Mus musculus: one gene and its partners. The protein of the gene in region 7 binds, or shares a complex with, the protein of the main gene of each other region. Links are inferred from orthologs where the notes say so. Each region holds a gene or a part of one and is shown on either strand. Other genes may lie near its edges.

Region 1 (3,080 bases), on a different chromosome or scaffold from region 7:
AAAGCCTGCCTGCTTCAACAGCTCTCCCCTCCCTACCCACCCCTCACATATGGGTCTCCATTGAAGCTGTGTCCTGGGTCTGGAGTCTCCTTCTTCCAGAGGTCGCAAAATGGTGGTCTAATGGCCTCATGAGACTCACAGCAGATTTTGTTTGGTCCTCAGTGTGTGTAGTGGTTTGGGTTTGAAGGCCACCAGGCAGGGCACGCACTCTCCAGGTTCGCCACAGTCCCTAGCACCCCCACATCTCAGAGCCACGGGCACACATTGGCTGCATGGCCACACCACCACCTCACCTTCATAGCTTCAGCTGCACCTTGGTCCCCTATGCCTCTTTTACTTTCTGAGAATCACCCAGGGGAGGGGCCTCGTGGGACAAGAGGACTCCTAGTCCCTCCCAGCCAGGCCCCAGGGCAGGGGCAGATGTGAACCAGCTAGCAGGGGCCAGGCTGTCACACAAGTGGGTGGAATAGGCAGGGAGAAGGAAAGCCCACGGCCAGAAAGATAATCAAATTGGATCTTTACTGAGCTATGGTGAACGCATGGAATACAACACAAACACGGATGATACTAGAGTTCATACTTTAAATTCAAAATTGAAAAAATACAAATTGAAAAATAGAAATATTTAGTTATTAAAATTTCTCTCTTGTAATTTTCTTGTGCCTTTTGAGCGGAAGGTTGACACCTGCCCTTCTTCACCCAGATGTCGGTGCTGGCATTGGCTGGGACAGAGACGGCAGGTGAAATGTCAACCTTAATCCTTAAAATGGAGTTTTTGATTTAGGTATGTAACGGAAAACAATGACTGTCACAAGCGTGGGCAGCCACTCAGGACACTGCTGGGCAGAGGCAAAGGAACCTTGCCATCTTGCAGAATTGCAAGCACCCTGTCGCACTGCCAACTCGGACCGGGGTCTGCGTTCACATCATCGTAAGGGCGAGCTAGCCAGTGTTAGCTCAGGTTCAAGTAGAGTATGGCCCTCAGGGGACTTGGTCTTGGGTCTCACAGTGTGGGTGACTGGTCCTGGCCGCCTCTCATTTCCAGAAACAAGCTGCACCAAAGGCAGGCAGTCCCACTGTTCCTCGCAAAGGCATGCGCCTGCCAGGACCACACCACAGTCATATACATTCAGGAGCTGTTCGTGAATATCCCTTCTGAGACAGATTCAGTGTTCACAAGGGTGGGAACTTCAACCAAAAGTTTCTAACTGTCCTCCAGGGAACCAGGGCACGGCTCTGCACACTTTGAAATGAACCAAACATACCAGTTCAGATTTCCTGCATGTCCTGGTCTCAGGCAATTGGCTCAGTTCAAGTACAGGAATGGCAGAGTCGAGGAAGGCGTCATGGTGTTTCTTTGAGCATCTCAATTCCTGGTTACTGAGACTAGGACCTGACCTGGGTCCTTGCAAACAGTGCCACTTGGGATCGAGGTATGGAACAGCCCCCATGATGGACAGCCTGGTCACCATGATGGGACTGTAGTTGTGCTTATGAATTCTGATGTGTTTGCATGCACAGGAGCAAGTCACTTCAAAGTCAGGGGCTGGCTTGGTGCCACCTCACAGACTGCCTCGGTTGCATGGATATTGCCGCCACCACCACCAATAAATAAAGCTAGCCATGTGCTCAGAGTTTCTGTGTGGATCCGGAAGGCCTCACTCTTGTGTGCTTCAGCCTGCAGACGCTTGTCAGGCTCACAGGACAGCCTTGATGACAGCTCTTCAGAACACGGGAGTTCTTTCCACTGCACTGCATGGCTATTCCTGGCTCTCCAGCGCCTCGCTGGCTCTCAGGGCCCTTTTCAGTTCCTGCAGGAGTGTGTCGCGGCTCTGCGCTGTGTACTGATCGTAGCTCTTACTGTGCTGGGACTCATAGTGGCGCTTCAGGTTGTACTCTTTCAGCACTGACACGTTTTTTTTGCATATTAAGCACGTAGGCATGCTCTTCACTTCCACAAAGAAATAGTCTCGCTCCCACTTTTCTCGAAACACGCGGCCCTCTCCTTCTCTCTTTCGTTTGGCCACTTTTGAAGGAGACATGGGTACAAGAAAGATTTCACTTTTCTCTGAATGCTACCACACAACCACCATGGTGCCAGCCCCGTGACTGAGGCAGGGCCCCTGCCTCACCGTGGAAGAGCAAGAGAGAGTGGTGGGGACTGTGGCGAACCCAAGAGCATGAGCCCCACTGACGGGGCTACGACTGCCAGGCAGAAGGGCGGGTCCAGTGTCAGTCTCTGACACATCGAGAGGAACAGACTGCACACTGTGTGAGCCTCACTGGAGCGTTACAGCTAACGGGAGGACAAAGTGCCATGCTGACACAGGGAAGGCCAAACAAAACCCATCTGTGGTGGCCCATGGGCCACTAGATTGCAGCCTCTCTCCTGGTATGGGTGGGTCACCTGCACATTAACCGACGTCCCACACCCAGGCAGTGGTGGTCCAGGCACAGACCACACTCAGGACAACATGTGCCTGTGTGACAAACATCTCACTCCATCTCCAGGGGGAAGCCCTGCACACAAGCCTGGGGGTACTCTGCGAGACAGGAGCTACCCAACTCACCCACACTCAACTGAACCCAGTGCTGGGGACATCCTGACTTCCTGGTGTGGCATGTGTCACCTAGACACTCCCATGACCTTGCCTCTTGCTTGCCCTGCTCCTACAATCCATCACACCTTCCTGACACCCGCCCCGTTAGCAGTCTATGCAGTCCTGCATGCCCAGGACAAATGTCCAGCTCCCCAGTCTGGACTCTCCGGCTCTGGCTCCTTCCTGAACGCTCACGCTCCAGGAGTGTCCACCTGCTGGCCCTGCTGGCCCTGCGCTGTGGCTTTGGCTATCTACACCTAGGTCCTTCTGGCTCCCAATTTCTGCTTCTCCTTCCAGGCTCCTCGGAACCCTGGCTGGGTCAGAGGCATTCTGGGCTCTAACCCCTTGAGTGCACATGAGCTGTACACTTCCTGCCCACCTGCTCCAAGTCTCCCAGAACCAGGCCCACCATGCTGCCTCCAACTCATCCCAGGGCCCAGCATCACCCAGCCGGGGCCTTGGGGAGTCTGCAAGGCGAGA
Region 2 (3,962 bases), on a different chromosome or scaffold from region 7:
TACCTGGGCCCTGAGCAATCACGGAAACAGTGCAAATGTCCAGGGACCCTTCAATACCACAGCAAGAAATGGAGGACAGTGCTCCAGGCTGATTCTACAAAGAGATTCTGCAAAGCCAGCCCCTGGCACATATACCTAGTTGTTTTTGTGGGTGGTCACTGACAGTGCATTTTGGGAAACACTTCCCTCCTCACTCAGAGACAAGTTCTCAACTCCATCCACCACAATAAGGTCTCCCTTTGAGATATACACTCCAAGCAACTTACCCACAGGCCAAAGAGCATAGTAATACTTATGACCAAGGGAAAATTCAAGAAACTAATGTTTGGGCCAGGCATGGTGGCATATACCTTTAATTCCAGCATTTGGGAGGTAGAAGCAGACAGATTCTCTGTGAGACTACACTGGTTTACATACATAGTGACTTCCAGTGACTGTCTCAGAAAAAAACAAAACAAAAACCTAAAATTTGGGCTGTCTACCTTCCTTCTTTTACCCACAAAGGGTCTTCTAGTCAGACCTTACCTAACACTTGGACCCACCTGATCTATAGCATCATGATTACCTGTCAAAGCGCTTGCTGGTCCCAACACTCTCACATACAAGCAGTCAGGATCTCTGATAAGATCTCAAGCAAAGGAGTTACACAGGAGTTAAAATTTCCACTGTGGAAGAGATGAGCAGTGGTGGTGCAATCGTTTAATCTGGAAGAAGAGGCAGGAGAATCTCTGAGGCCAACCTAGTCTAAAGAGCAAGTTCAAGGATAGTCAAAGCTACATAGAAGAGGAATCCTTCTTGAAAAACAACATCAAAAAATTATACTGTGTACACTATGGCTTCAGCAAAGATGCAAAAGCCATCAAGGCTATGTTTTCCTATCTCTTGTTTTTACCTTTTAATATCCTAATATATCAATCATGTGATTACAGTCAGTAATACCAATCACTGGCAAACAAAACAACAACAAAAAACCCAACAAAACCTTAAACCAAAAAAAGAAAAAAGAAAAAAATTTAAAAAGGCTTTCTAGAAGATTTTTATCTAGCCTGTCCCTATTCTACCTCGAGAAAATGTCTACAGTATTTACTAAATTACTATCAAGGTGATCTTAAAGACCAAGAAGAAAATAATTTTGGATCCAGCAAGCAGATCTCATAGAAACTAGAGCACCTCTATTTCTACCAAGACCACACAAACAATGTGAATTATTCTGAACACACCACAATACAGTGTACATTGTACATTGCTAAGAGTAACTGGTCAAGCATAGTCAAGGGAACTCAAAAGACTCAAACCTCGGTTACCTGTCCAAGCCCAAGATGATTTTTCTTCCATCCCGAGCATATTAAAAAGTGATCTCAAAGGCCACTTCCTGGTCTCCCAGCAAACACCTCATATCTGAATGCCTGTGCATCTTCCCATGGCCCTGCTCCTAACAGCAACAAGGATACCCGCCCCCTACACTGCCAACAAACCTTTGGGAAAAATACAAGAACAGGTGAAATTAGTCTATGCTCACACAGGAAGAAAAAGATGTCCCTCTGCTCACAGGACTCTTAGCAGAGGAAAGTGTGACATAAAGTAACCCCTTACAATTAAATCTTGACAGGCTAGGGCCCAAAGCACCTCAGGAGGGGCAAGAGAGAGATGGAAAGAGGACCGGAAGGTAGGAATAAGAGAACAATCAACTATGACGGGCAGTAACTCAGTACCAAAATCCCATGCTTTAGCTTCTGGTCAGATGCGCAATGGAGCATTTAGGCCAAGAAAGATGACAGGAAGGATCCCACTCTCTGCAGGGTCGTCTTTTCTAGAAAGACCCCAGGAAAGGTTTGTCCACTATCAGAAAAAAGAGGAGACTCTCCAGGCATCACAGGTAGACAGACTGGGGGCAGAACGGGCCTAGGGTTCCCTCCTAGCCAAGAAGGAGGTTCAGCCAGGAGACCGAAGGGGAGTAAAGGCCAAGACTCCGGAGACGCGGGCTACTCTAGTCATCGCGGAGACACTAGTTGCTTCCCACCTTGCCCCCGGCAGGGAGACCTTCCCGGGGGGTTCTCAGTTCCCAGGGTTGAGGTGAGGCAAGGAGGCACGGTGGGGACCACCAAGGGCGGTCGGGCTGGGACAACGGAGAAGAACTAGCTCTGATCAAAGCTCCAAACGCTCCCTCAGTCCAGGCCGCGTGAAGCCTCGGCCTCAGGTACCCTCAGCTGCCGGGCAATCCGCCTTGCCTGCGGTCCCCGGACCCAGGAGAAAGAGAGACCGAGATGGCAGTGGCTGTGGCGGGCAGATCACCGCCTGGAGAGAGCCCCTAGCCGGGGGCGCGTCGGAGGGGGAGGGTCTCGACACATGCGGCCTCGGTCCCCGATCGCGAGGCAGTCACTTACGTTGCTCTGGGAGTCGATGGCCTGTAGCAGCCGGTCCCTCATCTGCTGCGGAGACGCCGGAGCCGCTGTCATTGCCTGGGCGAAGCGGGGGGGAGCGGCCGGGCCGGCGGGCGGGCAGGCTGAGGAGGGGGAACGCGGGTCAGTCACTCGCCGGCCTCCGGGAACGGAGCCGCATGTTCCCCGCGGCGCCGGAGGAGGTCAAGGCGCTCGGGGAGATGGCGAGGACGGAGGGAAGCGGAGGGGACCGGAGCTCAGGCCCCGGACCACCGCCGCCACCGCCGAGCGAGGAGGAGGAGCCGACGGAGGAGCCTCCGCCACCACCGCCGCCGCCGCCTCGAGAACCAAACTCCAGTGAGCTGCCCCCCGCGCTGAGCACTCTGGGTAACCCGCGCCGCACGCAGCGTCGGCGCCACGCTGAGGAGGTTGGGAGATGGGGCGGGTGGAGACGCCGGGTTTGGGAGGGTCCGGCTCGTGAGCCCCTCCTATTGATTGTGCGCACGCGCGCGCAGGCGCAATTAGCAGGTCCTGCCGCCTGGTTCCGAGGTCCGACACAGAGGGCCGTTGGGAGGCAGTTGGGCGTGGCAACGGACGCTATCTGAAGGCCACGCCCACTCGGGACTGGAGGGATGGGCTTCCTAACGGAAGCGCACCCTTCAAGTCCTGGAACACCGACTCTATCTTCTGACTGCTTTGGGGTTGCGGAATGGAAAGACCCTCCCCCGGATGAGGGCCTCCTGCGTTTAGAAACCAGAGGATTGGAGCGGCCATAGGTAATCTGAGGAAGGCAGCGGTTCCCTGCGTTTAGACTCGTGCCTCGAGGAGCTCGGAGGAGCTCCGCACAGCCTTCTCCGCTGCAGAGGCCCCAGGCGCGGGTCTGCAGGGCAGTGCGTGTCCCCATGTGACCCGCGTGCTGCGGGGACCTAAGGTCACGTCTGGGAGCTGCCACCTCTGCAGAGGACGCAAGTCTGCAAGGCCTGCGCGACGCTGACACCTCGGGTCTGCATCCGTGCGGGGCTGGAACTCAAGAGGAAGCACCGCTTTTGTCGCCTTCCTAGAGGCGGGGGGGGGGCGGGGGGGGCTGGAGGTGGCCAGCCTGTGTCTGAACAGCAGGATGCGGAACCGTCGCCCAGCATCTTCCCCTTGGCGTTCCGAGGGGACGGAGCGACCCCGCCTTTGCATCTCAGGTGATGGAAAACAGGAACGCCTCACGGGGGAGGAAGGGAAGCACCAAGGTCACCTGGAGTTTTAAGTCAAACCAAGAAACGAAGGAAGTCAAGTATAAAGGCTGCGGTCCTCCGTCCTTCGGTGACCCCTACAACTGGACAGATGGAGGGCGGGCTCCGAGTTTAGTGCACTATACGAAAGTGGCCTCGGGAGAAATAACTTCGTGTAGTGTTGTAACCTTAAAAATCCAGACATGAAACGGAAGGGAAACAGGTAATGAAAACCACATGTACTTCTGAGAGCTGCTCAACACCTGTTAATTTTAAATTTGTCATACTTCGGGGGGGGGGTACTGGGGGAGGTGAGGAACCAGGCATTTAATTCCAACGCTTGGGAGGCAGGAGGCTCACTGGA
Region 3 (3,500 bases), on a different chromosome or scaffold from region 7:
AGGAGAGAAGAATCCAAAAAGCAATATTTTTCATCACATGCCAAAAATGGGATAGAGAGAAGGAGTGGCAGGCCTAGGCCCCTCCGAGTGTCCCTTGGGGTTTACCCCTTAGCCCATCTCAATATGGTGCTGGGTAGAGGGGGTAGCTGGGTTCTAACCTTTAAACAGGGAAGACTCCAGCCTCTATACAGAGACCCTTTAATTTTTTTATTCTGATTAGCCATTTTAAACCAACAAGGAATAAAATAAATCCTGATCTAACCAGTCCCCCCTGACTTGTGTTTTGTCTGGTTAAGGCAGGGTGAATGGTCTTAGGGAGTCAAAAGAGAAACCTCATTCTCTGGTTCTGTTTTTATTCTGGCTATCCAATTAAATGCCCTGCTGGGTGAGAAAAACCTAGCTTTTCATAACAAATACATCCTCTCTGTTGAATCTCTTGCTATTCCTTTGTTTCCTTTTGAAAGTAAAAACAGCTAAGCATGGTGGTGTATGCCTTTGATCCCAGAACTTGGTGGGTAGAGGCAGATGGGTCTCTCAAGCTTGGGGCCAGCCTAGTGTTCATAGCCAGCCAAGGTTGCATAGTGTGATGTGTCAAAAACAACAACAACAAAAAACAACCTACAAAAACCAAACCAAAACTTTTTTCAAAACAACCAAATCCAGCATTAAGCTTCTTGCCAGAGGTTCATTTAAAAAGTATGTAGGGGGGAAAAAAAAAGTCAAGAGAGGGAAAGGAAAAGATAAAACTTGCCTAGTGTTCACAAGTCTTAGGGGTCAGGCTCCAGAAAAAGGTGGGAGCATAATGAGACAAATACTAATTGGCTTTTCCTGCTAAAATATATCCGTGATTGTGGCTCACCAGTTCCCTGTGGTATATAAACACAGGTATAAACCTTATTTGGGCCAGCTTTCCAGGTGAAAGGTGAAGATCATCCATGCACTCTGCTCTGAGCATAATCAGCGAGTATTTTGTGTCTATGGTAGGAAAATAGTAGCAAGTTACTGTTTTCAGACCATGTTCTCTATTCGCATTTTGATTTTCCAGTTCCAGCCTGCTAAGGAAATAATGTGATGGCAAGATCCAAAATCTCTTGCATCTTAATGCCTTGTCCTAAACTTTGATTCAAATAGAATGGCACTTGCCTCTTAAAAGGCAGCCATACCGGTCAGTTTGTTAAACACGCTTTAAAACAAAACATTGAAGTCCTAGGATCAAATTGCACAAAAGAGGGAAAAAAAAGAAAAACAGATTCTTGTAAAAAGGAATCCATGAAAATGCCAATTGGACATAACCATAAAAAAGCATGGTCCTTCCCTAAAGTGTATTAGTCACATGCACAGCAGGGGCTGGCCCCTCTCCAGCTGTTGGATGCCCCCACAACAGGGTCCAACTGCCTGGAAGACAAGTTTTTATCAGCAGGTTCAGTATCACAGGAAAGCCATCCTTGGCCAAGTCCAGTAGTCCTATTAGCGGAGGCTGCTGCTGCTGCTGGCTTGAGAGCTGCCCATACCTGGGTGGTCTGGACTATGTCGGTTCTGGAGAAAACAAAGAAAAGAGTAAGAACATTCAAAAACTAAAAGATGGACCTAACTGGATGTCGTGGTGCATGCCTTTAATTCTAGCACTCTGGAGATAGAAGAGAGTAGATCTCTGAGATAGAAACCAGCCTGGTCTACACAAGTGAGTTCCAGGCCAGCCAAGACTATATCTTGAAACCTTGTCACAAAACAACAAAAAATCTAAATAAATAATACAAAATGAGCCTGCTAGCATAAACTTATCTCATTTACCTGGGAAATAGAAGCAGAAGCACTACAAACAAAGTCCAAGACCTGCCTAGAACAACCCAGTGAAACACTATCTCAATAAGGGGCTGGAGAGATGGCTCAGTGGTTATAGGCATATACTGTCTTGTAGAAAACCTGAGTTCAGTTCCCAGCACCATCATAGCTGTGACTTCAGCTCCAGGGCTTAAGCCCTTTTCTGGCCTCAGGATACTGCACTCATGTAGGGAAGCACATGTATTCATAACTACAAAAATAAATAAAAATATAAATGAAATGAAATAAAAGGTGACACAGGGAAAACTTGAGTCCCAACCACAACAGCCCCTACCTTCTTCTTCTTCTTTTCTTTCTTCTTCCTTTTTCGTTCAGGATCCTCCTCTTTCTTCTTTTTCTTCTTCTTGTGATCTGAATCAGATGGTGTTTCTGTAGGAAGCATTAAGAGTCTATAACCTGTTGAGCTTAAGATCTACTGCTATAGGGCTGGAGAGATGGCTCAGTGGTTAAGAGCACTGACTGCTATTCCAGGGTTCAAATCCCAGCAACCACATGGTGGCTCACAACCATCTGTAATGGAATCCAATGCCTTCTTCTGGTGTGTCAGAAGACAGCTACAGTGTACTTACATATAATAAATAAATCTTAACAACAACAAAAGATCTACTGCTATAAAGTCTTAAGGCTACAGGAAAATCTAACTCTAGAAATCCTAACTACTACTTTTCTCATATGTCCAGAAAAGATATAGAGGTGACGCTAGAGCACCTGTGCTAAGTCAAGTCACTACTTGCCCAAGAAATGTCATTAAATGAGTTTCTTCTTGGGGAAAATGGTGGTCCAGAGTAAGCATAACTGGAAAGGCCAGGCCATACCTGAGCCAGTGTCTCCATCATAAGAGCATAAGAGGTGCTCCTTACCTGGGGGAACAGGATCCTGGGTGCGGCTCTGTTTGTGCTTATGCTTATTCTTCTTCTTGGGTGGCTGAATATGCATCAGACGACACTGCTCTGGCAACTGAGGGAACAAAGGAAGGTCCAGGTGAGTAGAGAAAATCCTCTCTCCCATCATCTGTTCTCAGTAAATTATGAAAGAACAGATTTGGACAGAAAAGAAAGCTACCTCATGCCTTTCAGGCTATTTGCTTTCTTACTCCCCAAAAAGAGACTCACCGGGCCAGTGTGGAGGCGGAAACCAGACAGCATGGTCCCTGTGATTGGATTAAAAGAGCCACCAAGAATAGGAGGCTTCTCAATGAGGGATCGGAGGCTGCTGTTGTCATGAGAGCCAGGGAGATCAATCATCCCTGGCAGGTCAGGCAGGAAGTTACTTAGCTTCTCCTTCACTTTCTTCCCACAGAACTTATTATAGGCCTGCTCCAGGTTGTAGTGTGTGATTAAATTGGTGCTGCCCGTCAGCTCTGTGCTGCCTAGAAAACAGTAATAATGAGATTATACCAAAAGCAGATAACTTTCTGTTAGTAACTCAGAAGGAAATTGAAAAAGAAAACAATCTTTAGATTTACTTAATATGCATGTTTGTTTTGTCTGCATGTTACGCATGTGTACCATGTATGTCTGATGCCTGCAGAGGTCAGAAGAGAGGGTTGGATCCCTAGAACTGGAGTTAAGGAAGGTTGTGAGCTGCCTTAGGAACTGACCTGGCTCTTTTGCATATCCTGTTGAGCTGTCTCTCCAGCCCCAGGAAGGACTATATTT
Region 4 (3,500 bases), about 530 kb from region 7:
GAGCTCACGCCTTTAATCCCAGCACTTGGGAGGCAGAGGCAGGTGGATCTCTGAGTTTGAGGCCACCCTGGTCTACAAAGTGAGTTCTAGGACAGCCAAGGCTACACAGAGAAACACTGTCTCAGAAAAAAAAAAAAGAGCTATTCCTCTTAAGTACCAGCCTACTCCCTCTTAGCCCAAGTGGCCACCCACCCTGCTTGGCCACGCCTACCTGCATGCGCTTCACCATCATCAGCTGCTCCACCAGGGGCTGCATCTCCCCGGTCAGGTTCATGGTGCCCTCAAGCAAGATGAGTGCGTGGATGGTGGGGAAGCCGGTCTTGTGCAGTTGCTCGGAGTGCACGGACAGCATGCTGGGGATGCTGAAGAGAGACACCATTGGGGACGTGTTGGGAACTGAGGAGACAGCGGGACACACACACACACACACACACACACACACACACACACACAGACCATGGAGCCCATCTTCCCATCTCCGGCAGAAACCTAACCTCCTGATGAGTGTGCCGCAACGCTCAGCTTGGCTCCGGAGCTGGGGGTTGCTGAGATTGGCCAGGATCTCCCCAAGTTTTAGAAGAGAATGCTCTATGGCAGTCCAGGAGGCTGGTGGAGAAAAAGCAAGGCAGAAACTGCTGGGAAGGAGAGGCAGGGCGTGGTCCACACTCCCCGACCGTGGCGCTCCCTGGACCGTGAAAGCATCCAGCAAGGAACCTCTGAGGACGAGGAGGCAGAGTCCTGAGGGTAGGGTAAGGGGAGTAGGCACCGGGAACAAAGACCCCCCTAGCAACCATACCAAGGGCCTGACTTCCAGTGACTACACACAACTGACTCGAGACACACAAGCAATGGGAGCAAGGCACAGGGGTGGGTACAGCATCCAGTGGCCAAGCGGGGACAGTCACTTCTACTCTAGCTCCAAATACCTTGCCAACACAGCTTTTGAGTTTCTGCTCTTTGAATAGCTTACCCAGCTGGTGGAGCCCACTGGACACTCTCTTAAATGGCCGCACTCACGGTCTACAGCACATACTTAGTATTTAATTACTAGTCACTTATCCTAGTTACAAGCCCAAAGGGTCAAATGATGAATGACGGCACCAGTTAGCCAATTAACCTCCATGTAGCACAGGGACAAGAGAAAGACAACTGAGACCTGAGATCCATCAAAATGAAGTATTCATCTACTTTTCTACCAATAAACATTTATCAAGTGCCCAGGAAGGCAAGGCACTGCCAACACTAACAAGAAAGCAGATGAAGAAAAGCTGTCCGAGCAGCCCATTCTGACACAGTGATCGGTCTCTTTCTGGACTTTTCCCAGAGAGACTAATCCCCTAACAACCTCTCCCACTGAGCCCTGAAGACATGGGTGTCACCTATTTTAGCATTCCTGTCAATGGAGAACCCTTAGGTGGCCCTAGCTGCTGGGGCTCAGGACTCATGAAGACTTCCCTCCTATAAATCTGTAAGGTGCCAATGCTTAACAGAACTTGAGTTAAGAGAGAACAGCATCCAGTCATGGCTGACAGGCACTGAGTTTAACTGAAGTTCCGGGTCACACCTGAGTCATCTGCTTCTAGGCGAGCAACATGAAGACAGACAAGAGCAGACGACGTGCCTGTCTTGTCCTCCAATTTCTCCAGGCGCATGGCATTCCAATCTTACTCCCCACCAGTGTGTAAGCTTGCTGAGGGCAGGGACCCTGCCACATGCTCCTTTGGAAGCCCCCATCCCCCCCTCCAGCACCTGGCACAGTGCTGGACACACGAGAAGGCTCAGTAAATACCTGTTGGTTGATTGGCTCGGGTGCCACCCTGCCCAAGTCCCTGGGATGTATGCAATGCTTATGGGGAGAGAAAAAAGGAAGTGGGATGATTTCGGATCCTTCTAGAAAGAAGTGGGATGGCATCCTGCCTCTCCCCTCTCAATCAAAGGACCAGCTACAGAAGCAGCAGCAGGCAGGGTGTGGGGGAGTCAGGGGACATACAGGCCTCCTCTAGTTTGGCGATGTGTAGCAGGGCTCGGTTCTTGGTGCTGCTGAGGGTCTTCTCCAGGCACTGCAAGCACAAGGCAAGCTGCTTCTCCCCGGGGGCCGGAGTGCCAGCCTCCAGCCCTTCCTGGAGTCGCTCCGCAGAAGCTGCTGTACATCGAAGCAGCCAGTGGAGGGCGCTAAGGAGCGCTCGGCACAACCCGATGCATTCCTCTGCTTTGCCGTGGCAACTACCCAAAAAGGATGAAAATTTGTATCTATTCCAAAAGCTGAAATCCAACCCACACCAATGTTCCCCCAGAGTCTCTGGCACAACACTACTAGGGGACAGAGTTGGAAAGTTGGCAGAATCCTAGGTAAGACACCTAGTCTAGCCAGCTTCCACTAGACGAGATCTTAGAGTAGCTCTTCCAAATAGAGAAGAGGCACTTTGTCTTAAGGAAACAGAAGCTGGAGGTGGGAAGGCAGGCAGACAGAAGCAGCCTGGGACCCAGAGCTGGTCTCAGTCCGTCCCCTAGACTCTGGGCTTTCCTCGGCACTGAAAGGATGATGCAATGCTCTGAGCTTCCACATCCATCTCTCACCTGAGTCGGTCACAGAACATGTCCATGATATCCAGCAGAGCCTGGACACACAGGTCCCGGGAAAAGTCATCAAACTGCAGAAAGAACAGCGAGCAATGGAGGGGGCTCAGCACTACCTCTCACAAGCTCTGCTACCTCTCCTCCCCAAGCCCTGGGCCACAGACTTGCCACATGGAAATGTGTTCCTAATTTCCAGGACCTCCTTCCTGGGCGGGGGGCATCAGGTGTTGCCTATCCAGCCTCAGGGGACACATGACCTGAGTGGCCAGGCTGGTAGCCTTATTTGCCCCCTCCCACAGCTCCTGAGAGCCACAGTCATACCTTACTGATGGCGGTGAGCACAGAGGAGCAGGACACCATCTAGAAAGAAGGAAGACACAGGACGTTGAGACAAGTCATCTACTTGGGAGGGGCAAGCACTGATGCTTAAACTGCCACAGCGTGAGGTCCCCAACCCCTTCCCTTCAAGAGGTTTCCTCAGCTCATTAAAAGGCCCACAGTAACATGTGCTGTCCTTATCGCTGCTTCCATCAGACTCAGTGCAAGTGGCATGCGTATAAGCCGAATGAGAGGGTTTCGAGTACCCAAAGGCATCCTGCCTTGTCTTTATGCTGTTCCTTTCCAAAACTAAATGAAGTTCAACTGGCCACTAGTGGGCAAAAGAATCACCCAGAATGACGGTCTTGTCTTGTATGGGGTCAGGGAGTCCTGGGGATGAAGCTCAGCCCCACGCCTGCTAGGCAAGGGTGGAGACGTGACTCTGCTGGACTGAAGATGCACTTCGGTGGTCAGTGCCGGCCTAGCATGTGTCCTAATTTCAACCTGAAGCACAGAGGCGGGTGTGTGCATGTGAACTATTTGAGCCTCTACACTAATCAGGCCCATTGCTCCTTTTATCAAGATTAACTGTGCCGGGCGGTGGT
Region 5 (3,969 bases), on a different chromosome or scaffold from region 7:
TACCTCCCAACCTCCTCATCTGTTATGTCCTCCTCTGTTAGGATTCACCAAGAAGGCTCTCTCACGATGACAGTCCACCTTGATAGTGGACTTCCCAGCCTCCAGAACACTGTAGGGAGTAAACGTTCTTTGTAATTGCTTGTCTGTGCTATTCAGTTGTAGCAACAAAAAACAGGCTCACATACCCACCCACCTCCAACTCCAGAAATGATCATCTTGGAAACTATGATAAACAGTTTGTCTGAGTTCCACAAACCAGGTATTTGCAGATTCAGGACTCACTTCCCATCAGAATATCCCCAGGCTAACAGAAATGACCTTTCTGCTATCACCCTTCACACGGAAAACTGTCAGGAAGCCCCAGTTCTAAATTTACATTCTGAAGCTGATCTTTCTTAAGATCGAACCTGCCTAGACCGGGCGTGGTGGCGCACACCTTTAATCCCAGCACTTGGAAGGCAGAGGCAGGCAGATTTCTGCGTTCGAGGCCAGCCTGGTCTACAGAGTTTGCACCTCCTACCTTCAAATGCTCTTCTTCCTCCTTTTCACTTTACTTATCACCCGTTCCTCATCACAGAGCTGTTTAATGCTTTCCATTTCCCCCAGGCACTCCCACTCAGAATTAAAGCACTAATCTAGTCTCCAGTTGGGTAAGCACCTCCTGCCCCAAACTAATTAGCCACCCTTTTCTAGCCATTTTGATTTCCTGGAGAATGTTAATTTCTCGAATTTAAATGTTGTGAATGGCGGGCTGCGAGTATGCTTTGTGGTATACCTGCAAAGTAAAAGCAAAGGAAAACAAGTGTTCCAGATAAACAAAACAAAGAAACGAACGAACAAAAACAAAACCCCTCACAAACAAAACACATTCCAGGCCAGCCAGGACTACACCGTGAGGCATAGCCTCGTCAGAGCTAACAGACAGAATGGAGGAAGCACCTTCCCTTCACAGGCTCGGTCCAGCGTAAACGCGAACCCGTAGCAGCTCAGCCTGCACGCGTCCCTCCTCCCCCACACCAGCCCTGGATCCCACCCGCCTGACGTCAGCAGGCCCGCAGGCTGGCCCCGCCCCTCCCCGGCAGCATGCTTCCTTAACCACGCCCCTCAAGGAGGAAGGCCTGTGATTGGTCCGGAGGCGTCATAAATTGGCCAATCGCTCGCGCTCTAGCAGCTTTTGCGCACCCTTGCGTGCGTGGTGAACATGGCGGATAGACTCACTCAGCTGCAGGACGCTGTGAACTCGGTGAGGGCTTTCCTCTGCTCGCCAGCCTTGCTTTCCTGACGCGGAGAGAGGAGGAAGGGGCGAGGCAAGGCCCCGGGGAGCGCGCAGATTGAGGTCGCCGCGGGCGGCGCACCCCGTGAGGCCTGGGTCTCACGTAGTCCACAGGGCGGGGTCTGAGGAGACGGGCCTGTCCTGAGGGGAGACCGGGCCGGGCGGCTTGTCCTGAGGGGAGGCGGGACCCGGGGGCCTGTCCTGAGGGGAGGTCGGAGCCGCCAGTCTCTCCTAAGGGAGGTGGGACCCGGGGGTCTCTCCTGAGAGGATGTGGGACCTGCCAGTCTCTCCTGAGAGCCATGGGACCCGGGGCCTCTGGTGAGGTGCGAACTTGAGGAAGGGAACGAGTGGCCGCTAATAAGGAGGGGACCCGACGACGGCCTCTCCTGAGGAGACTCAAGGTCTGCGGCCAGGTAGCCAGGAAGCGAGTACTCAAGTTCCAGGGATGCTTCTAGAACTTCCTTTGTGGGGCAGCACACGCCTAAGCACTTTTGTGTGTATCCCTCCCTCGCGTTTCAATTTCAACCTGCCAAACGGATTTCTCCTGTGATTCCACCTCTGAGGCTGAGACAGGAGGATTGCAGCGAGCTCCGGGCCAGCCTGAGCTCCAGTTTGATAGCCCATCTCAGAAAACAAAACACAAAAGACCACAACAAAGTGTTGAGTGTTTGTAGGTTGGTGTATGAGTGACCAGGGCGTGAGCTTGCCTTGCTTTCTGTAGGCCTTCACTCCTCCCTCCGCTCTTGGCGACTCCAGCACCAATGGTTGGAGAGTAACGTCTAGAAGAGGCCAGATCCTGGCCTCTCCGTTTCTTTGCATTTGTTTAAGTCTGCTTTACGATCTTCCCTAAGAGGCTCTTATAGGTGGAGTGAAGCTCTTACAGCACAGTACCACAGAACAGTGAATGTACACAAGAGGGATTTTTGTTTTGTTTTGAGATGGTCTCACTGTGTAGCTCTGGCTGACCTGCACACTGTGGAGACCAGATTGGCGTTAAAAACAAAAAAAAAAAACAGCCCAGTAATCAAAATCTACAACAAAAGCTCCTGAAAACTGCTAGCTTCTCTAACTTTGTCGCCTCTGGCTGTTATTCTGGCTTAATTGTACATGAATGGAAAACTAAATACTGAGCCTGGAATGGTGACCCACATCTTTAATTCCTGTAATCCCAGCACTTGGGAGGCAGAGGCAGGCGGATTTCTGAATTCAAGGCCACCTGGTCTACAGAGTGAGTTCCAGGAGAGCCAGGGCTACACAGAGAAACCCTGTCTCGAAAAAAAAAAACCAAACCAAAACAACAACAACAAAAATAGTGCAACAGTTTTCCATTGGTAATTAAAATCTCTTAGTGTCATTCTGGTTGTAGTTTGATGTAGAAGAGCCTACACAGTATATGCCTGCTGAAAAAAAAAATCTAAATACCTAGTTCTCTGGACAGTGTTTTTTAAACAGGAATGTTATAACAAGGCTTCTTGGTAATTCATCATTTTTGAGAGTACATTGAAATTGTGTATCTACTAGTGGGAAGACTAGTCTATTCTGTGTAAATAAAGTAGTTTTAAAGTTGAGGGGCTATCTCTTAAATGTTGATGAAGTCACCAAGGTACATTCTGTTTTGCAAAGATTCCCTGGGCTGCCAGCCAACCTCTCCCAAGAAAATACTTTTGTAATTTTACAAGTCTTTCTTGTTTTAATTTAAATTTTTTTGGTTTTACAAATCTTAATAATGCTGTGTAGAAGCTCATCTCCTAAGTATGCATATTCATGTAGGTCCTATAGTTAGGATGTTAAGGATACGATATAGTCTTAGGAGTACTGATAATTGAGTTAATATGTATGCCTACTGTGTCTACAGGGAATGTGTTTACAAAGAACTATTCTAGGAGCTTAGAAAGATGTCATAAACTCAAGAGACTTTTAGATGATGCAAACAAACCCCATATGTGGCTAGGGAGTTACAGTGGATTGTTTTCAGCTCTTAAGAGCTAAAGTAGATTGGAACACAGAGCAATATTAACATTTGTTCTGCCATCTGGAAACTCCATGTTCATTTCTATAATATATACAGTACTTGTCATGGAGTTGGTTTTTCAATAAATATTTTTGAACAGATTAATAATGGGTCTTGAATGAATTTACAAGACAGAACACTAGCTGCTGTATTGAGTAAGCTTCATTTATATTTTTCTTTCTTATGACAGTGCTGCTAAATAGAACACTGCAACTTAGAAAGCCAACCAGGTTAGCTTTTCAATGACAATTCAGAATTTTACATTGAAATAATGACAGCAAAACAATAGAAATGTTTATTGATTGGAAATACTAAATGAGGCTTCAGGGGTTAGGACTAGTGAGAACATATGTTTAGTTTGTGAATGGTGTGAACTTATATTCTCAAATTACTTAAATGCAATGCTTTTTAGTTTTGCTTCTTTTGAGGCAGAATCTTATGTAACTCTGGCTGGCCTAGAACTGTCCACATACTCCAGGATGGCCTCAAACTGACAGATCTGAGTGCCTCTGTCTCTGCCTCTCTTATGCTGAGATCCATCATGCCCCAAAAACAAACAAATTTAAGCAACAAGGTTACAACTTGAATCTTGAAGAATACATTTCTGATAATTTACAGTTTAAAAAAATTTTTGTTTTTCATGTAGTACAAACTGGCCTCAAACTCCCTTACATAGTTGAGGATG
Region 6 (3,500 bases), about 12 Mb from region 7:
GGTTGGAGGAGGAGGTGGTGTTAGGAGGTTAACAAACATCTTATTACATAGCCCAGGCTAGTCTGGAACTATGTACTGATGCTAGCCTGCAACTTCTGATCCTACTGCCTCAGCTTCATGGAATTAGTTAGAAACACACCACCTACAGCCAATATAATTGTATTTCTCATGATTGTAGAATGACAATCAAGGTTTTTAAAGATTTCATGTGTCTGTCTCTATGTGGGTATTCCATGTATATAACAGTACCCACAGAAAGTTGCTGATATTACAGACAGCTATGAGCCACCAGATATGAGTGGAAAGAACTAATCCTGGATCCTCTGGAAGAGCAGCAAGCACTTCACTGCTAAGCCATCTAATTAGCCCCCAGAACTATAAAGTTTATCTTTTATAAACTCTCTTAAAACTCCTATTATAATATTTAAGTGAAATCAATATAACCTGTCTTTTAACAAAATTATTTTGAACAGAGAAAAACAACTGTGAAACTCTGAAACATGAAGAAATCCTTACCTGCACAGAAACAGTGCTCTTGATATGAGGAGGAAGAGTTTGGACCATTTCCAAGAAGCATCGAAGGAGCCCCAAAGTCCATACATTAGAAGAGTTAGTGCTCTCGTCTTTATTTTCATATGTAAAAGGATCGATTATATAAACAACAATTGCAGGAGGGTAGGTAATTGCATGTGAATCACCATCTGTGGGAATCCCCACTTTATCACGATCCATTGTGCTAAAAATTGAAGTAGAAAGAGAACAATGTTGTATTATGTCTGCCTGGTACAGCACCAAAGTGAATCCTTACATCCCTCTTTTATTGGGGCAAGGCATCAGAAAACCTCTCTGATAATCAGGATACTTACACTTCACACCATATGAAATCCCTTCAAATAAGAGGCTTTGTGCATTTAAAAGAAAGAATTCTCAAGCAGCTTAACAGTAAGAGACTAAAGGTCTCTCTGACAGGCATCTCAGTAACTGGTCATGCTCAGCAGCCTGCCTAGAAACAGAGCTAGTCCAGACAGAAGCCAGGTTTTTCTGTTCAGATAATAGTCTACTTTTACCTCATATTTATGAGCGTGAATTTGTAAACAACTGCATTCTAGGAAGCAGAGAAACAATGAGCATCAGACTGTCTGATAAGGGAATTTCCCCAGGACTTTTATATAAAAACAATGAGATCCATTACCATTAGCACAATTGCTGTGCAGCGTGTAGAACTGCTTCCATACTACAGATATGGATGCAATGCTAACAATGTTAGACCTTCTCCTTATCACAAAGTGAGTCAAGGACAGAGCTGGGATTCAGAGTCTAAAGCCTCCCAAGCAGAGCTGAAGCGTACGTAGCACAGTGAAAGGCTGCATGCCTCGCACGTGCCAGCTCCAGTGAGACTCTAGCACATGCACGCAGATATACACACGCACACCCCACACACGCACACAGAGGCAGGCACACAGAGATTTTGCAACCAGTTGTGTAATATGCATAAACAATTACATCTGCTTATGACACAGCCAGACTCAATCATAGGACTATCTGGAGTTGAATAATTTTTAAGATCTAAACACCAACCCTGTGATTCTATGATGAAAAATTTAAAAACAATCTTTATTATAACTTCATACGTAAAATAATTACCATGATTAAACTAAATTCCACAGTAAGGTCACTGTTTACTTAGATAAAGAGTCGATAGATTCTGTATTTCCACAAACTTAATTTTTTTATACTTATTCATTCATTGTACATAAGGCTTCAAGCATGCTAAACACATATGCTACATACTACTTAACTATCTTTCAACCCCAAGTATCCTAATATTTAACGGTACCTTTCAGACACATCAGGATGTGGCTGAGTGGGAAGAGAAGCTGACTCCCCTGATATTCCTGCTGCCTGCAGAGATGACGACTGCTGTCCTCCTAGCTGGCCACTCTGAACCGTACTTGCTTGTGCAGACATGGATCCTGTACCACTAGTGTTCATACTGCCAAAGGGTGGAAACGAAGGCAGTTTATTTGATGATACTCCACTACTCAGACTGGAAGATGATGAAGATGAAGTTGTGGTCAAAGTTGAATTAGCTGTGGCAACTGAAGTAGATATGGGAACACCTGAAGTCATTGTCATAGTGCTACTTGCCGCAGATGCTAAGGTGGCAGATGGAGCATTAGCGTTTCCAGTATTTGTCATCTGAGGTGCAGTAACCAAAGACTGATTTGGAGGGGCAACTAAATTTGGCTGGGAGAGCAGAGAGCTGTCCAACGGCTGAGAAGCAAGATATGGACCTAAAGAACAAAAACGGGTATTTAATTCTTGATTTCACTGACTTATTTTTATTCTTCTATAGAAATAACAATGTAGCTGACACTTTTATGGCGATTATCTTCCCTTAACTGCTTTATACTAACAGTGCAGCACGAACTAACTTCCTACTCCCTCCCAGAAACTTTAAAAAAAAGAAAAAATGTTTTAAATTAATTATAAAAATAAACCCATATTTTCATTCAAATTTTAAATAGTCAGTATGAAATGTAAGAAAATTCTATTTCTTAGGCAAAATTAAATGTAAACAAAAGCTAACAAGATAGCTCGGTGATTAAGTTGACCCCCAGAAACCACAAGGCGGAAAGAGAAAACCAACCTTGCCAAGTAGTCCTGATTTCCACTGGTTCACAGTGGCATATATCCCGACACAAGTAATAAGTGTAAGAAAAAATTAGAATACATCAACAAATGTGTATAAGTATGTAGCAATTTTTCATCAAACCACTACAACTATTGTTAAATCACAAGTTGAAGAAATACTGTCTAGATTGATAGCTAACTAAAATACAAAATGGAGGGATATTATCATGAGGTTCAATTTTCAGAAATGTCTAATTAGGTTCAGTAATTTGGTATTGCATCTCTTTGGATTAAGTGTAAAAGAAGTTCACTGATATTTAAGAGTATAACAAAAAGATTTAAATAACAGCCATAGGATTAGCTACAATAAGACTTTTTTTGGTGTTGCAGAAGGTTACTTAGAAAATATTTGTATGTAAGTTATTAACAAATCAAAAAAAAATGTTTTTAAAGACAGGGTCTTACTATGTGTGTAGCCCTGTTGTCTTGAGGCCACACTGGCCTCAAACTCACAGAGATCCTGACTCTGCCTCCGGAATGCTGGGATCAATGGCAGGAAACATCAGACTCCACAGAAGCAGCAGAGAATATTTTGGAACCAATAATGACTACTTGATAGCATTCCCATATACAGAGCTAGCAGACTTTCTATGGACAGTCAGACAGTGCATACTTAAGTCTGAAACCACAGTCTTTGCCACATCTATTCAGTTCTGACTTTGCAGGACAAAAGCAGGCAGAGACAGTGTTTGAAAACATGGAGATGGCCACATGACACAAAGATTTTATTTACAAACTTAGATGGTGAACCAACCCATACTGCTCACATTGCTCTTGTAGGATGAATACAAATTTAATACCTAAAT
Region 7 (3,982 bases):
TGGGTTTTTTTTTTTTTTTTGGTTTTTCGAGACAGGGTTTCTCTGTGTAGCCCTGGCTGTCCTGGAACTCACTCTGTAAACCAGGCTGGCCTCCAACTCAGAAATCTGCCTGCCTCTGCCTCCCTAGTTCCTTTCTTTTTCTTTTATTTATTATATATATATGTATGTATGCGTGTATATGTGTATATGTATGTGTGTGTGTGTGTGTATATATATATACTGTACCTGTCTTCAGACACTCCAGAAGAGTGAGTCAGATCTCATTACAGATGGTTGTGAGCCACCATGTGGTTGCTGGGAATTGAACTCAGGACCTCCTGAAGAGCAGTCGGTGCTCTTAAATTAACTGAGCCATCTCTCCAGCCCCTTCTTTCTTTTTTTTAAACAACATAACTGCTTCTGGTTCTTCAGGAAATTTCACCTTCCCACTTTCTCTAGGAATTAAACCCAGGACTTCAGACATGCTAATCAGGTATGTTGCTGGTGAGTTACAAGTCTTGTCATCTTACAAATCTTACTTTTTTGTTGTTTTGTTTTGTTTTTGTCCAGGCAAGGTTTCTCTGTAGCCTTGGCTGTCCAGAAACTTTGTAGACCAGGCTGCCCTCATACTCAGAGATCTACCTGCCTCTCCCTTCAGAGCGCTGGGATTAAAGGTGTGCGCCACCACCAGGCAAACTCTAAACACCCAAACACTAAAACTCACTGGAAATCTTTCAGTAGAGATTATTTTGTAAGGACCGGTTTTCACTATCCCCTTCCTCATTGGGATTATAGGAGTGTGCCACTTTTCCAGGTGCTCAAAGAGCAAACATTTTGTTTCGTTTGAGACAGGGTTTCTCTGTGTAGCCATGGCTGTCCTGGAACTCACACTGTAGACCAGGCTGGCCTCGAACTCAGAGTTCCGCCTGTCTGCTGGGATCAAAGGCTTGAGCCGCCACCACCGCGGGACGGAAGAGCTAACGCTTTTAATTTACAAATTGTGTAACTGTCGGGATGCAAACATAAACTTTCAGAGAGATGTCAACTCTGGGCACACACCCTTAGACGCCAAGGTGTGAATTCTGAGCCAATCGGAGCCGGGCCTGCTAGAGATCCTGCGGGGAGGACGAAATCAGCCAACCTCCGCGAGACTTTGGTGCGGTTCCTTCTTCCTCCGTCTCACAGGAACACGATTAATCTCGCGATCTTTGGGAAGTTCCGTTGGGGAAGATGGCGGCGGCCGCGAGCACCCTTCTCTTCTTGCCGCCGGGGACTTCAGACTGAGCCTTCCCCGGAAGAGTCGGGGCCGCTGGTGCGCCGCTTCCCCGGAGCCCAGGCTAACTTGGTTCCCCTCTGAGTGGCGGGGAAAGGCTCCCCGGCTCGTGGCGGACCCAAGACCTCCCCGCTGTCAGGATGAAGGCTCAGGGGGAAACCGAGGGTGAGTGACTGGGGGGTGGCGGGGAAGGAGGGGCGGTACACCGCTGCGGCGAGCCAATCCGAGAGAGGAGGTGGGGACCCACGCCCCTCCAGGGCCACCGTGCGTGGGACCGGATCCTGGTGGAATGTGCATCTTAGATCCCGACCGAGCCCTACAGATGCTGGAGCGCCTCCTCCGGGGCGCTGCTCCCCCGTCTCCTCCACTCGTGAAAGGTTTTCTGCGGGACGAGGGACGAGGAAGTTGAGCCTCAGGGTACTTTGAGCTTAGCCCGGTGGGACCCAAGGAGAGGGAAACTGAAACTTGTTGATGCTTTGTTCCAGGAGAGATCGCTGAAGATGACACTAGAACAATGTAATGTCAAAGTAATGGAGGGTGTTTTAGCCGGAGTGACTTGCTTGGTTCGATCTTCATCATAGTAAAAGCGGGCCGTTTATTACTTGGAAGGTCATAGTGTTCAAATACTGTGCTGTGTCTTTACGAACTGCTTTCAGTTGTGCACGACCGGTGGCTTTAAAGCTTGGGGGAGAGGTGTTCAGAACTATAAACTGGCAGGAACAATCCCCAAACCAGTTTCCCAGTTGAGGGAAGAAAAGGGAAGGGATAGAATCTTCTTTGTTTCTTGAGACAAGGTCCCCCTGCCTCAGCCTCCCAAGTGCGGGCTTACACACCTCTCGGCCAGCTAAGAGTTTGATTCTTGGTTCAGATACTCCCTCCCACGACCTGGACTGGCTTATCCAAAAATGAAGTCTCGACATTTGTAGCAAAGTGGACGATACTCAAAATAAGCCATATTAAGATAAATAGCACATTTTCTCTTATGAGGAATCTCGACGTAGGTATGTGTTGGTGTGTGTTGGTTGTGAAAACATGGGACCATGTGGGAACAAAGGAGGTCTGCAGGATAGAAAGGTTAGTGGAATATGAAATGAAGTGAGAGGTTTGGCTGTTTGGAGGTTGGGGCAGTGTGGCTCTCAGAGGGAGAGGACTTGGACCAAGTATAATGGCCTATATGTATAAGAATGCCAAAATGATATGCATTGCTTTGTATGTTAATTTAAAGATAATTTAGAGGCTGGGAATGTAGAGCAGTGGTTAGAGTAATGTCTTCTTGTCCATGGGTTCAATTCCCAGCACCAAAAGAAAAGGAAAAAGGGAGCCAGGTGTGGTGGCCCACAGCTTTAATCCCAGCACCTGGGAGGCAGAGGCAGGCGGTTTCTGAGTTCGAGGCCAGCCTGGTCTACAGCGTGAGTTCCAGGACAGCCAGGGCTACGCAGAGAAACCCTGTCTCCAAAAACCAAAACAAAACAAAACAAAAAAAACCCCTAATTATTTTTTTTTTAAAGATTTTATTTATTATATATGTAAGTACACTGTAGTTGTCTTCAGACACTCCAGAAGAGGGTGTCAGATCTCATTATGGATGGTTGTGAGCCACCATGTGGTTGCTGGGAATTGAACTCAGGACCTTCAGAAGAGCAGTTAGTGCTCTTAACCTCTGAGCCATCTCTCCAGCCCTAAAACCCCTAATTATAATAACGTCTTCCTTAAATTGTGCTCCAAGTATATCCTTCAAGGTGTTGTGAGCCCAAGGGTCCAGTGAGAAACCCTGTCTTAAAAACTAACACGCAAAGAGCCAACTGGTGATGGTTCCTGCCTTAGTCCTAGCACTTAGTAGAAAGAGGCAGGTGGATCCCTGAGTTTGAAGCCAGCCAGACCTACAAAGAGACAAGACAGCCAGGGAAGCTCTGTCTCAGCCGTACCTCATAGCGGCACACACCCATAGGAGGCTGATGAAAGGAGACAAGAGGATGCCTTAGAGCATAGTCTGGGCAAGCCTGGGAGGTGACCCATGTTTATAATCCTAGCACTTCATAGGTAGAGGTAGGAGTATGAGGAGGTCACCACTTACATTTCTTTACTAGGAGGTAGGGCATCTACCATATCCACTGTGGGCTCTGGGGCGTGAACCCAGACTCTCATGTTTGGCATTGCGGGTGCCTCTACTCTTGTAGCCATCTTGTCAGCCCTCAAGGTCATGGTCAGCTGGGCTGTGAGAGACTGTCTCAAAATGGAAGAAAAAAAGCAGGGAGGTGGCTGGAGATCGAGCTGAGGGTTTAAGAGCCCTGTGCTTTTGGCATAGGTTCAGGTTTGGTTCCCAGGAAACACATGTCCACGTAGCAACTCACAAGCATTTGTAACTTTAGTTTCAGGAGTCTCGGTGTCTTCTGGCCTCCATGAGCACTGCACAGACATGCCACACATCCATGAGTCAAAAAATCAAAACAATAACAGCAACCCTTCCCCCAAAAAAACCCAAAAAAATGCATACCCAACATATTTTTTTTTGAAATAAAGAATATGTATTTCATGTGTATGGTGGTTTTATCTCCCTGTATTTCTGTGTACCAAGTACATGCCTGGTGTCCTTAGAACCCAGAAGAGGAGAGCAGATCTCCTGGGACTGGAGTTGCATGTGACTGTGAGCTGCCATGTGGGTGCTGGGACTTGAACCCAGAACTTCTGAAAGAGCAGCTAGTGCTCTTTAAAGGATGCATTGGGCATTGT

What was found.
Region 1: Med1 (region 7) and Med25 share a complex: the UniProt entries of both Homo sapiens proteins name them as parts of the mediator complex. The link is inferred for Mus musculus from reciprocal best matches to the Homo sapiens genes MED1 and MED25.
Region 2: Med1 (region 7) and Med26 share a complex: the UniProt entries of both Homo sapiens proteins name them as parts of the mediator complex. The link is inferred for Mus musculus from reciprocal best matches to the Homo sapiens genes MED1 and MED26.
Region 3: Med1 (region 7) and Med19 share a complex: the UniProt entries of both Homo sapiens proteins name them as parts of the mediator complex. The link is inferred for Mus musculus from reciprocal best matches to the Homo sapiens genes MED1 and MED19.
Region 4: the proteins of Med1 (region 7) and Med24 are in contact, whole or in part, in a cryo-EM structure (PDB 8T9D), measured with the Homo sapiens proteins. The link is inferred for Mus musculus from reciprocal best matches to the Homo sapiens genes MED1 and MED24. Residues at the interface, in NP_004765.2 of Homo sapiens: Phe375, Asn377, Gly436, Leu437, Gln439, Glu441, Ser453, Asn459, Asp460, Ser461, Leu462, Val463, Cys464, Tyr480, Lys481, Gly482, Asp485; in NP_055630.2 of Homo sapiens: Lys7, Ile10, Trp14, Lys15, Arg17, Leu47, Ala50, Met51, Ile52, Gly53, Pro54.
Region 5: Med1 (region 7) and Med21 share a complex: the UniProt entries of both Homo sapiens proteins name them as parts of the mediator complex. The link is inferred for Mus musculus from reciprocal best matches to the Homo sapiens genes MED1 and MED21.
Region 6: Med1 (region 7) and Med13 share a complex: the UniProt entries of both Homo sapiens proteins name them as parts of the mediator complex. The link is inferred for Mus musculus from reciprocal best matches to the Homo sapiens genes MED1 and MED13.

What each region holds. Positions count from the first base shown.
Region 1 is NC_000073.6:44,876,265-44,879,344, forward strand, and holds the end of Med25 (mediator of RNA polymerase II transcription subunit 25), read right to left. Parts: exon of another isoform or gene 2,027-3,080; coding exon 1,761-2,026; 3' UTR 501-1,760; downstream 1-500. UniProt on the Homo sapiens protein: Component of the Mediator complex, a coactivator involved in the regulated transcription of nearly all RNA polymerase II-dependent genes.
Region 2 is NC_000074.6:72,545,511-72,549,472, forward strand, and holds the start of Med26 (mediator of RNA polymerase II transcription subunit 26), read right to left. Parts: upstream 2,801-3,962; 5' UTR 2,457-2,800; coding exon 2,385-2,456; intron 705-2,384; exon of another isoform or gene 566-704; intron 1-565. UniProt on the Homo sapiens protein: Component of the Mediator complex, a coactivator involved in the regulated transcription of nearly all RNA polymerase II-dependent genes.
Region 3 is NC_000068.7:84,684,902-84,688,401, reverse strand, and holds the end of Med19 (mediator of RNA polymerase II transcription subunit 19), read right to left. Parts: intron 3,212-3,500; coding exon 2,955-3,211; intron 2,800-2,954; coding exon 2,703-2,799; intron 2,212-2,702; coding exon 2,117-2,211; intron 1,537-2,116; coding exon 1,468-1,536; 3' UTR 187-1,467; downstream 1-186. UniProt on the Homo sapiens protein: Component of the Mediator complex, a coactivator involved in the regulated transcription of nearly all RNA polymerase II-dependent genes.
Region 4 is NC_000077.6:98,715,920-98,719,419, forward strand, and holds part of Med24 (mediator of RNA polymerase II transcription subunit 24), read right to left. Parts: intron 3,365-3,500; exon of another isoform or gene 3,352-3,364; intron 2,938-3,351; coding exon 2,899-2,937; intron 2,652-2,898; coding exon 2,578-2,651; intron 2,224-2,577; coding exon 1,991-2,223; intron 1,847-1,990; coding exon of another isoform or gene 1,790-1,846; intron 607-1,789; coding exon 495-606; intron 363-494; coding exon 212-362; intron 1-211. UniProt on the Homo sapiens protein: Component of the Mediator complex, a coactivator involved in the regulated transcription of nearly all RNA polymerase II-dependent genes.
Region 5 is NC_000072.6:146,641,410-146,645,378, forward strand, and holds the start of Med21 (mediator of RNA polymerase II transcription subunit 21), read left to right. Parts: upstream 1-1,169; 5' UTR 1,170-1,201; coding exon 1,202-1,243; intron 1,244-3,969. UniProt on the Homo sapiens protein: Component of the Mediator complex, a coactivator involved in the regulated transcription of nearly all RNA polymerase II-dependent genes.
Region 6 is NC_000077.6:86,284,597-86,288,096, forward strand, and holds part of Med13 (mediator of RNA polymerase II transcription subunit 13), read right to left. Parts: coding exon 3,495-3,500; intron 2,312-3,494; exon of another isoform or gene 2,295-2,311; coding exon 1,838-2,294; intron 737-1,837; coding exon 517-736; exon of another isoform or gene 474-516; intron 1-473. UniProt on the Homo sapiens protein: Component of the Mediator complex, a coactivator involved in the regulated transcription of nearly all RNA polymerase II-dependent genes.
Region 7 is NC_000077.6:98,190,494-98,194,475, reverse strand, and holds the start of Med1 (mediator of RNA polymerase II transcription subunit 1), read left to right. Parts: upstream 1-1,182; 5' UTR 1,183-1,392; coding exon 1,393-1,417; intron 1,418-1,569; exon of another isoform or gene 1,570-1,669; intron 1,670-3,982. UniProt on the Homo sapiens protein: Component of the Mediator complex, a coactivator involved in the regulated transcription of nearly all RNA polymerase II-dependent genes.